Linked DNA regions of Ovis aries. The protein of the gene in region 2 interacts with the protein of the main gene of each other region in a biochemical or structural test. Links are inferred from orthologs where the notes say so. Each region holds a gene or a part of one and is shown on either strand. Other genes may lie near its edges.

Evidence for each region.
Region 1: the proteins of TNRC6B (region 2) and protein argonaute-1 form a complex in vitro, tested with the Homo sapiens proteins (2 studies listed by BioGRID and IntAct). The link is inferred for Ovis aries from reciprocal best matches to the Homo sapiens genes TNRC6B and AGO1.
Region 3: the proteins of TNRC6B (region 2) and AGO2 form a complex in vitro, tested with the Homo sapiens proteins (3 studies listed by BioGRID and IntAct, with this or other methods). The link is inferred for Ovis aries from reciprocal best matches to the Homo sapiens genes TNRC6B and AGO2.

The regions. Positions count from the first base shown.
Region 1 is NC_056054.1:10,821,541-10,825,935, forward strand, and holds the start of protein argonaute-1, read left to right. Parts: upstream 1-1,589; 5' UTR 1,590-1,799; coding exon 1,800-1,824; intron 1,825-4,395.
Region 2 is NC_056056.1:217,420,916-217,424,558, forward strand, and holds part of TNRC6B (trinucleotide repeat-containing gene 6B protein), read left to right. Parts: intron 1-1,414; coding exon 1,415-3,643.
Region 3 is NC_056062.1:16,050,972-16,054,614, reverse strand, and holds part of AGO2 (protein argonaute-2), read right to left. Parts: intron 3,214-3,643; coding exon 3,029-3,213; intron 1,969-3,028; coding exon 1,809-1,968; intron 1-1,808.

The DNA.
Region 1 (4,395 bases), on a different chromosome or scaffold from region 2:
TGGTACCTGTTGTTGCAGAACCTCTCCTAGAGAAAAGCAAAAAGCATACTCTGAAAAGTGTCAGAAATTAATCTTTCTAGTGGGTAGCGACTGGGTATGGCTTCTCTTGAGTTCCTAGCATCTGGTGTAAAGTAGGCATCAAAAATACAGATGGATTAATATATATGAATGAATATATGGAAAAGTGATGTTTGAGCTGGGTCTCTCAGCACCTATCAGTTGATGCAGAGTGAATAGGAGAAATGTTCCTAGAAACTGAGACTAACAAGGAGGTGACTGTGATACTTTTGTCAAGATATGATAAGGGCCTGCATCAGCACAGGGAGCCTTCACAAGCATGTCAGGAGACCATATGAGCAGGTAAACAGGTCAGGACTTTGTGAACTGCTGTATAGGGTTAGAAGCAAGGGAGAGAGAGAAGCGGTCATTTCTGGGATGAAGGTGCCCTTTGTAGAGACAGGAGGTATAGGGCAAGCACTTTTGTGGGAGCAAAGATAAGAGTTTGGTTTTGAACTCTTAAAATTTGAAGTGCTGGTAGATCCAGGTGGAGCTGTCCAGCAGACACTTGGAAATATGAGTCTGAGACATGGTTGGAAATAGAGATTTGGAAGGATAGTTAAGCCATAAGAATGGATGAGACCTTGAAGCAAAAAAGTGGAGATTAGAATGAGAAGACAGCTAGGTTTGAAAACAAGGTGAACACTTTTTTTAATGGATCAAAAACAAGAGGGGGGGCTCTTGAAGAAAACCGAAAAGGACTTAGGCAATAGGAGACCTCAGAAAATGCTGAAGCCAAATAAAAGACTCAAAAAGGAAGGAGAGGCACAGTGTCAGATGCTGCAGCAAAATAAGAATTGAAAATTATCCTTTGAATTTTGACACAAAAAGTGTTTTAAGTGAGGTGGTGAGGTCAGAAGTGGATTGACTGAATTCAAGCGTGGGCTGTAAGAAAGTGGAGAGGTGCTTCCCAGCCCGTAGGTAGAGCTCAGTAGATGCACTTAAGTTGAGACGGTGACATCTTCCAGGGTAGGCAGGGTCTCTTTCATATCTCTGGTCTCAGCGCCCAGTACTCGGCCTGGAAGAGAGGGTGGCGTCAGTGAGTTCAGTGACTAGGGACGGAGAAAGGCTTCGCGGAGGCAGTCGCTTTGCAGCCGAGGCTTGAAGGATGAGGGTGATTGGGAGGAGAGGTGGGAGGCAGGGCCCCTGGGTGATGGGGCTCTCGGAGTGTGTGAGGGTGGCCTGGGAATGAGGTGGCAATATGCGCGTGGCCCTGTGCGAATGGGGGGAGGTTGTGTGTAGGCTTGGAGGAACGTGTTTGGGGAAAAGACAAGGCCGGAGGCTGCTGCGGGGTGGGGGTTGGGGGTGTGTTGTCCTCCCGCCCCGCCCCACTTACGCCACTGCGCGGTTCCGCGGCGCCTTTACCGGAGCCCTCCCGCCGGGCTGCATGGCGATGGGTGACCGCCAGGGGCCGCTGCCTCCGGTCCCCGGTGCCCCCGCCCCTCTCCATTGGCCTTTGTTGCCGTCGGAGCGCCCCGTTTGACTCGTTCCCGTCCGCCCCCTGGGCCTGGCGGTCGCGCCTGCGCACTGGCAGCTGGCCGGGCGCTCGCAGGGGGAGCTGCTGCAGGCTCCGCGGCGGCGGCGGCAACGGAGGCTGCGGGGGCGGCGGCGCGAGCGGCCGGGCTTGGGGGGGCAGCCGAGCCCGGCCCGGGAGCCCAGGCAGCAAACGTGCGGGGTACCTAGGCCCCTCACGCTGGACTCCACAGTCTCCGGGCCGCCTGATCTCCGCACGGGTATATGGGATGGAAGCGGGACCCTCGGGAGCAGGTAAGGGCCCCCAGGAGCGGGGACGGTGCATGCTCCAAGGACTAGGGGACTCTCGCGTGAAGAGCAGGGTTTCGGAGTGAGGAAGGGTTTCCTGAGTGGGGAACGGGGCTCTTCTGAGATGGGGGGCCCAGTTTGAAGGGGGTTGTGTGCAGTTCCGGGGGAAACCTTGCGAAGGGAAGCTCTGAGACGGGGGCCATTTATCAAAGGAGCCTGTATGCACTCGTGGAGGTAGGAAGTGCTTTGGAAGAAGGGCCTGAACGCACAGGAGGACTCCTGGAGGTACCAGGAGGCCTAGGGAGAGGCCCGGCAGGTGGCAGGGGGCGGGCTCCAGGTGTCCAGGAGAGGGAGGTCGACACAAATGGGCCCAGAGCTGCCGCATGCCCTGGGCGGGGGCTCAGCCGGTATGGGTTGGGCTGGGTTGATGTCTTTTGGGAGAAGGCGCCAGAGCTGGGCTGTGAGCTCCGCCCCAGCCGGGCCTGACGCGGGGGCGAGGGTCAGGGGGCAGTGGGTGGGGATCCAGCCCTGGGATTCCCCCCCTTAAGTCTGGGAGCTGGAGTGGAGGCGCCGGAGCATGCGCGTAGGTGGCAGCTGGAAGGGGCTGCCCGATGTGGTGGGGGCGTGGCCGCCCGAACCCCCCTACCCTTAGCCCCGCCAGGTTGACTTGGTAAAAGGGGAGCGCTGATGGCTTGTAGTCTCTCTTAGGTTATGCTGGCAGGACACAAATGGAAATGGGTCCCTTCCCCATCTTGGGGGTCTTAGGCTTGACTCTGAAACCTTCAGTCTCAATTTGCCAAGACTAGGTTGAGGGAGATGGACAAGTTTCTTATTCCGCCACTAGGATGAGGAAAGACGGATGGGAGCAATGTTTTAGGTTAGGGACAGGTCCTCCTTGAAGACAGGCCTTAGAGAATGTATTGGTTGCTGAGGGACCAAGGCCAGGACCTGGTTTCCGTAGAAGGGATTGTTTGCCTGGTTTGCATGTTTCTGGTTCAATGGTGAGCAGAGTTGGGATCTTTTAATCCAAGGATAATGACCTCTCTATTGAATGTTTCCTGAGTTGACAGCCTAATCTTTCTATGCCTTAATGTTTTTATGGTTGCTTTCCCCTACTGGGTATCTTTTCTTTTTGCTCTCTCTACTCCCCCAGAAATTGTCAGAGCCATGTTATTAGACCCAGCGTTGTCAGGCGAGCCTTTTGTCATATATAAGTTGTATGGGATAGGGGGAAGTTTATAGCCTTCACCATAGTGTGTCCCAGGTGATAGCCTTAACTTCTTATTCACCATCAGGAGAAAAGGAGATTAGAGGGGAAACTGAGGCAAGACTGTCCCGAGAAGGCCAGAGTTCCTGGATGGGGTGAGGGTGGTGGCACCTCCTGTGTCCTAGGCGTCTTATCTTTTTGGTGGGAGGAGCAGTCTGGAATCTTTTAGATCTGTCTCACTACTTCCGTTTGATCTGGAGGGGAGAATAGAATTTCTATTTGGGACATGAATTTTATTTCATTTGGGACATGGATTTCATTTCTGGTTGAAGCAAGCATCTTTGTCTTTTATACCAGATCTTATACTCTTAAGGAAATAACTCCTGCCACTTCATTCAAGTCATTCATTCAGTGATCTTTAAGTACTTAGCGACTACTTTCACCAAGATGGAAACAACCTTGTAAAGGCTGTATAAGCCTTAAGGTGGAATGCAGGGGTCAACTGACTTCAGAAAACTATTAATGCTTCCTTTTTCCCTTAGGCTCCTCTCTCCCTTCCATGAACTCTCTTGGTTTTCTGGGCTGGAGACTACTTGCAGCAACCCCTGGGACTAGAGTAGTAGGACACGGAAGTCCAGACGGATTGGTGGGAGCTGGCACCCATACCAGACTGCTTATGGTTTTATTCTGATGAATTCCGTGTGGTCTCGAGAGTGATGAAAAAATTGACTTTTTGTTTTTGGTTGTTGTTACAATAAATAAGCTTCTAGGGAAGGAACTAGAGCCTGGTATCTGGAGTTGGCTGTAGCCTAATGGGGCAGCCTTTACCTCATCAGCGGGTGTGATTGAAATTCATTCTGGAAGCTGTGAGTAGAGGGATCCCATAACTGCCTCCTTCCTAGGCTAGGACTGTTTTCTTGGAGGTTGGAGGACACAGTACACAAAGCAGTGTGTTGTCTCTGGCTTCACTGGGCTCAAGGCCAGATGTGCCATCTGTGCTTAGGTGTGTTTCAAGCACATGTACTGGACTGGGAGCTCCTAGAGGGTGGAGTTGGTGTCTGATTTATCTGTGGAACCAACTAATGGCTAGGCCTTGACACAAGTACATCTTTGTTTTTTCAATTGAGTCACATTCCATTGTGAGCATAAATGGTTAAGTACATTGTATGGATATCTAATAATTTGTGTGTACTTCGTGTGTGGATAAATTCTTTTTGGAGAGATTGGGCGGCTCTTCTTTGCTTACTGGACAGCTAACCTAGTCTTGAGTTTGTGTTTTGAATGGGCAGTCTAGCCTATTGGTAGGTATGTGGGCCTCAGAACTGCAGGGAAGGGGTCCCTGAGCCAGGCCTTTAGGCTGTTACTTTTCC
Region 2 (3,643 bases):
TTCTAATTTGAACATAGAATTGCCTAGAGAATTTTTTTTACCATCTTATGTGCAAAGTAAAGATGGAGAAAAAGCTGGCAGTGACATAGGTCTCATACAGAGACAAGCCCTGTTCATGAGGCTTCCTTTGGTAGCCGTCAGGACAGGCCCAGCCCAGACAGAGAACGGCCTCCTGGCCCTTCCTTCCTGGCCCCTCGTCACCAATTGCAAAGGGAAGTGTGAGGGTGTTTGTGTCGAGCACTTCAGCAGCTGAGTCTCGCCAGGCCTGGACGTAGACGTGGGTCCAGCATGAGTCACTCTCCTGTTTACATTCTTAAAACCTAGGAGGCCCCTGATCTCAAGAGTTTGAAATTCTCCGCTTTCTTACTTTTATATGGTGCTATGTAATTTTTTTTTTTTTTAACTTCATATCGGTTTAAAGCTGTTTGGTTAAAAAGAACTGAAATACGTTTAGAGGAAATTATTGGTCTTAAAAACAGGTCATTCCCCCTCCTTCCCACGCCAATCAAATATGCTCTGAGCCAGACTCTTTTTATCAAGTTCCTTGGGCATACAAACTGATTCATGCTTGCCTGCCCCGGCATCTAGCTGGGTGGGCATTCATCATTCAGCAGCTGCTTACTGAGCAGCCGTGCCCTGGCTGCCACATGGAATTCAAACATTAGCAAGATAGGTCTCTGCCTGGAGAGCATTCATGTGAGGGAAGGAAGAGGTGAGTGTGATACACGGAGCAAAACAGCTCCAGGAAGAGAAAGGCTGTTTTCAGGTGGCAAGCTTAAAAAAACTTCATAGAAGAAGTGGCACTTGCACTAGACCCAGAAAGATGGATAGATCTCAGCGTGTGAATTCCAAAGGAAAGAACAGTAGATGCCCGTGGGGAATGGAGCCAGGGTGAGAAGGTGCAGTTTGTAGAGTGTGGGCATCATCAGAGAAAGCAGAGAAAGGGGAAAATGGAAAAGTCAGTGGGTCCCAGGTTGTGGAGCATCTTGATCAGACCTCAGGACCAAGAGTTTAGCTTTATTCTTAATGCACTACAAAACTCTCCAGTGCTTTCCATAGAGCAGTGATATAATCAGAGGTGTTCTTTATTAATACTAGGGGTGTTTAGAGTGGGTTGTAGCTGTAAAGCAAGGATAGGCTATTAGCTGCATTGTCTCAGGATACGGGAAGTCCCTTCTCTGTCCCTGGAAGTAGCACGAGGATAGCTTTGAGAGGCTCTGGGGGTTAGAGTTAGCAAATACACCAGCCAGGCAAGACAGAAGAGAGCTCAGGCGTGACACAGTTAAGCAAGGCAGGCAGTGGGCAGAGAACTAGTTTGTGGGGAAGTGATAAGCTCACTTTTGGGGCGGTTTGAGCTCGAGGTGTTGAGATGATGCATGTGCCACTGTGATTAATGAGACCATCTCTTTCTCAGAGTCAACCCTTGGAGGTGCTGCTGCTTCAAATTATGCAAATTCCACTTGGGGCCCGGGAGCCTCCTCCAACAGCGGCGCCTCCCCCAACCCCATTCACATCTGGGACAAGGTGATTGTAGACGGGTCTGACATGGAAGAGTGGCCTTGCATTGCCAGCAAAGACACTGAGTCTTCTTCCGAAAACACCACCGATAACAACAGTGCCTCGAACCCTGGCTCTGAGAAGAGCACTCTGCCAGGAAGCACCACTAGTAACAAAGGAAAAGGGAGCCAGTGCCAGTCTGCAAGTTCCGGGAACGAATGTAATCTTGGGGTCTGGAAATCTGACCCTAAGGCTAAATCTGTTCAATCTTCCAATCCTACTACGGAGAGCAACAATGGACTAGGAAACTGGAGGAATGTGAGTGGTCAGGAGAGAATTGGACCTGGCTCTGGCTTCAGCAACTTTAACCCAAATAGCAACCCATCTGCCTGGCCAGCACTGGTCCAAGAAGGAAGTTCTAGGAAAGGGGCATTGGAAACGGAGACTAGTAATTCCAGTGCACAGGTTAGCGCAGTAGGTCAGGCATCCAGGGAACAGCAGTCAAAGATGGAAAATGCGGGTGTTAATTTTGTTGTCTCTGGCAGAGAGCAGGCTCAAATTCATAACACTGATGGACCAAAAAATGGAAACACTAACTCCTTGAACTCAAGTTCACCAAACCCCATGGAGAATAAGGGAATGCCCTTTGGGATGGGCTTGGGGAACGCCTCCAGGAGCACTGATGCCCCTTCACAAAGCACTGGAGATCGAAAGACTGGGAGTGTTGGATCTTGGGGTGCAGCTAGGGGGCCTTCTGGAACTGACACAGCCTCTGGACAAAGCAATTCTGGAAACAATGGGAACAATGGAAAGGAGAGAGAGGACTCCTGGAAGGGAGCTCCTGTTCAGAAATCAACCGGGTCAAAAAGTGACTCTTGGGACAACAATAACAGGTCTACGGGTGGGTCCTGGAACTTTGGCCCTCAGGACTCTAATGACAACAAATGGGGTGAAGGGAACAAAATGACATCCGGGGTCTCTCAGGGAGAATGGAAACAGCCGACTGGGTCTGACGAGTTGAAAATTGGAGAATGGAGTGGTCCAAACCAACCAAATTCTAGCACTGGAGCATGGGACAATCAGAAGGGCCACCCCCTCCCTGAAAACCAAGGCAATGCCCAGGCTCCCTGTTGGGGAAGATCTTCCAGCTCCACGGGAAGTGAAGTTGGAGGTCAAAGCACTGGAAGCAACCACAAAGCAGGAAGTAGTGACAGTCACAATTCTGGCCGTCGGTCGTACCGGCCCACACATCCTGATTGTCAGGCTGTCTTGCAGACTCTTTTGAGCCGAACTGATTTGGACCCCAGGGTGCTCTCAAACACTGGCTGGGGCCAAACTCAAATTAAGCAAGACACGGTGTGGGACATTGAAGAGGTGCCAAGGCCCGAGGGGAAGTCTGACAAAGGGACTGAGGGGTGGGAGAGCGCTGCCACACAGACCAAGAGCTCAGGGGGCTGGGGAGACGCGCCCAGCCAAAGCAATCAGATGAAGTCTGGATGGGGAGAGCTCTCAGCCTCTGCAGAGTGGAAAGACCCCAAGAACACAGGAGGCTGGAACGACTATAAGAACAACAACTCTTCCAACTGGGGAGGGGGACGACCGGACGAGAAGACATCTTCCTCTTGGAACGAGAACTCCAGCAAGGATCAGGGGTGGGGAGGTGGACGCCAGCCCAACCAAGGATGGACTTCTGGAAAGAATGGTTGGGGAGAGGAGGTTGATCAGGCGAAAACCAGCAATTGGGAAAATGCTGCAAGTAAACCTGTGTCCGGGTGGGGCGAAGGTGGGCAGAGTGAAATCGGGACTTGGGGTAGCGGTGGGAACGCAAGCCTGGCTTCCAAAGGCGGGTGGGAAGATTGCAAAAGGTCTCCGGCGTGGACGGAGACAGGCAGACAGCCCGGTTCCTGGAACAAACAGCACCAACAGCAGCAGCCACCGCAGCAGCTACCACCACCACAACCCGAGGCCTCTGGCTCCTGGGGAGGCCCAGCCCCACCACCTCCAGGCAACGGACGACCTTCCAATTCCAACTGGAGCAGCGGGCCGCAGCCAGTAACCCCCAAGGATGAGGAACCCAGCGGTTGGGAAGAGCCATCCCCACAGTCGATCAGTCGGAAGATGGACATTGACGATGGCACTTCCGCAT
Region 3 (3,643 bases), on a different chromosome or scaffold from region 2:
TCCGAGATAGTTGCGTCCACAGAGTCCAAGGTCTGCAGCCAACCCTGGACCTGCGGCCACACTGCAGGGCGCCTGGCAGCCACATCGCTCTCTACCCAGCACCCCAGTGTCTCCAGACACAGCCACATATTCTCGGGGGGTGAATGTGTCCCAGTGGGGACACACAGAGCTAGGCTGTTCTCCCAGGGTCTTCTAAATGCTGGCTACACTCCAGCAGTCACCTCCCCAAAGAGGCAGTGTTGGGGGCCCAGTTCTCCAACAGCTGGTGGGCCCCAGCCTCACTGGCTGTGCGACTGGGAGCCTTCTTGATGCCTCATCCTTCTCTCCTCCCAGACTCACGTGCTGCCCAGGTGCCCTGCACCGAGCCCCCCAGGCTCCACAGCTTTTCCTCTTGCCCTCCCCTTCCTCTGATGGGTCCTGGGTGCACCCACACACGCAGTTCTGACTCACACTTTGAACCGGCACAACCACAGCAGCCACTGGACAGTCCACTCCGCCCCGCGGCTCCCAGGCTCGCCTGGCAGCAGAGCTCTGGGATTAGCTGAGCCCGTCTCCTGCCTCCAGACCGGGCCTCACGCTGCCATGGCAACAGGACTGCTCTCTGCAGGGTCACCTGCACCCTGCTCACGTCCCCCAGCCCTGTGGCCGAGGGCCTCACACCTCGCCACATCTGGCTGGTCGGTGCCGTGTGGCGGCCATGCACGGGCTCCCCGCCACCTCCTCCTGGGCTCCAGAGCTGTCGCCTCGCCTCCACGACCTTCCAACCCTGCACCCCCCAGGGCCCAGGCTTGGCTGTCCTTCCTGTCTACACTGCACCCCGGGGTGCTCTCCAGCCCACAAGCTCTAACTACCACCCACACGTGAGGAGCCCTGAACAAGCCTCTCCAGCACAGGCTCCCCCCAGCCCGCCCCTGCACCCCTGCTTCAGCTGGCGTCACCTCATCGCTCCCAGAGCCCAGGGTGGGGCAATCTAGACTCTCCTCTTCCACTCACAGACCAAACGCATCCTCTCAGTGAGCCAGGCAGCGCCATCGCCGAAACGTCACGGCTCTGGGCGCCCCCGGCCTAGCTCCCACCAGTGGCTCTCCTGGGATGACGCCGGCAGGCCTGGCCCTCCTGTCTGTCCAGAGCTGGGGTCGCCTTTCAGAACAAGGTCAGCGGGGCCGCTCCTGTGAACCTCCCCAGTGGCTGTGTTCCCCTGGAGCGAGTGCCAGGCCCCCAGGCTCGCCCCTCGGTCTCTGAGCCGAATGACCGCCACGCTCCCAGCAGGCAGGCTGCCCCAAGGCCCTTGCGCGGCCTGCACCCTCTGGAGCAGGCTGCTCCTGGTGTCCACACAGCCCTGCCCCCAGTGCCCAGTCTGCACCATGCCACCTCCTCCATGAGGCCCTCACCCTTCTGGGCTCCCTTCCGCTGTATCACTGCTGCTCAGCCCCCAGAGCCTGGCCCTGGCCTGGGGCCGACAGCACCGCCTCCTGCTCGGGAAGCCCCCTGTCCTAGCACTGACCGTAGGGCACCTGGGGTGCTGGTGCGGTCCTCCTGTCTACACGGCACTGGCCACACAGCTGCCACATCTCACAGGCGGGACCCACCTCCGGATGGGGTCAGAGAGCCCTTCTCCTTGGGCCGGCACCAGTCCTCAGGGGCCTTGGACACGGAGACCAGGAGCAGCCAAGACCCTCGTCCTACTCACTTCTTGCGCCTGCCAAGCCTGGGACAGCACTCAGCATAGCTGAGCAGAGCCACCCCAGCATCGCCCTGCCCAGGGTGTCACCACCGCTGCCCCATGCATGGCAGAGGGCCAGCCTCACCTCCCCTGCGGCAGCAGGATGTTGTTCACGCCGCCCAGTTTGACGTTGATTTTCAGACAGAGGTTGGACAGGGTCTGCGGCGTGGTCCTCTGCACGTTCTTCATCTGCACGCACTGCGTGGCCATGCCCAGCACCGTGTCTCCCACACGCTTGACCTCGGCTGCCGAGAGAACAGGGTGCTCAGCACGGCTTCCCGGCGCTCCTCTGCCCACCCCGTGCGCCTGACACACACACGGCCAAGCCTGGACCCAGCTCCGTGCCAGTTGCGGGGCGTCCCCCACCGGCTCAGGGAGGCCCGCTCTCAGTCAGGAGCGTTTCTGCAACTTCTCCAGGCCGACAGGGCAGTGTGCACAGGGCCAGGTTGGAAACCAGGCACTCGGGTCAGCAAGCAAACGCTTGAGTAGTCAAAAATATAAACCCCTGAATCCTTAGTCCCTGGCCAATACAAACCCGATGCCAAAGTGCTCTCCAGGCCTACACCCCCCTCCATTCTGGGTTCTCTTGTGAAGCGAGTGGGCAACTGCTCTCTGGACAGGCCAGCAGAGACGGGAGACCCTGGGAGAAGTCACCCGGGCTTCCTCCTGCTCCTGGATGCAAAGCCCATGGGAGACGGGGAAGCCAGTCAGCGAGCCAATCGCGCCTCTCTTCCCTCTTCCCCATGGTGCCCACACACCTCCCTGCACGGGGCCTCCGGTTCCCACCGGGCTTCCAGCAGACCCACATGCACCCACCTCCCCAACGCTTGCCTACACCCGGGAGCTTCCCCCACCAGGGCCTGGGACTCCATCCCAGGGCTTGGAAACTCTGAGCTAGGTAGAAGTGCAACCGGCCTTCTGGCAGAAAGGACTCTGATCAAATCCCAGAGGATTCTAAGATGGCACGGTTCACAAGAGGAGGGCCAAGTCCCAAATAGGAGCTGAGGACTGCCCCCGCCCCTCCGAGGGGATTACTGCGTGCATATCGTGTGACCATTCTTCATCCAGCCGAAGTCTGTGTCAGCAGCGGACAAGGTAACTGCACGCCTGCCGCATCCCGCACCCCCTCGGGACACCCATCCCAGGGAACCGGGGCCTCAGATGACACTGCCAAGGTGGCCCTGGGCACGTGCATGCCACAATCATACACCACCTGGTCTCACTCAGACACAGGCCCCTCCTGGGTGTGGCAGAGGCCGCACCGCACACCCGTAGGGCCAGGGCAGGGGCAGCACCAAGACCTACCGTAAACGGGGGTCTTCCCCGGCAGGATGACCACCACCAGCTGCAGGCCAGCGTACGTGTTCTTCAAGTGCCGGAACATGGGCTCCACGCTGTCCGCCCCCTGGGCATATTTACAGAAGCATGGCTGGCCCTGGATGGGCATGCCCGCATCTCTTGAGATCTTTCTGAGCTGCTCCGTGAAGGACCTGGAGGAGCAGGGTCGTTACATGAAGAACCCAGAGTGCCGACGATCCAGACCCACCAGAGGCCCCGAGAAAGGGCAGTGTTAACTGATCCAGACCCCAGGCCGTTTTCATTGAGCTGAGTCCCTGCTGAAGCCCGAGATGAGGTTGTTTCAACAAGACAATGTACAGAGGCTGCCCACGTGCTCAGCACACAGGTCCCTGAAAAGTCAGAATGTAACAGGAGACGCCATATCGTGGCCTCGCCGCCCCCACCAGCTGTGACCCTCCCAGGCAGCGACAGGGCTGTTCTTTTACAGTCGGGCACAAACAGCTGCTGCCCACTTGCCCGCAGACGCCGAGCACTGTCAGGGCAATGAGAGCCATGAACTGACTATCCCTTTGGATTCCCCCGGTTTATCCCATGCACACAGCTTGGACTCAGATGACATGG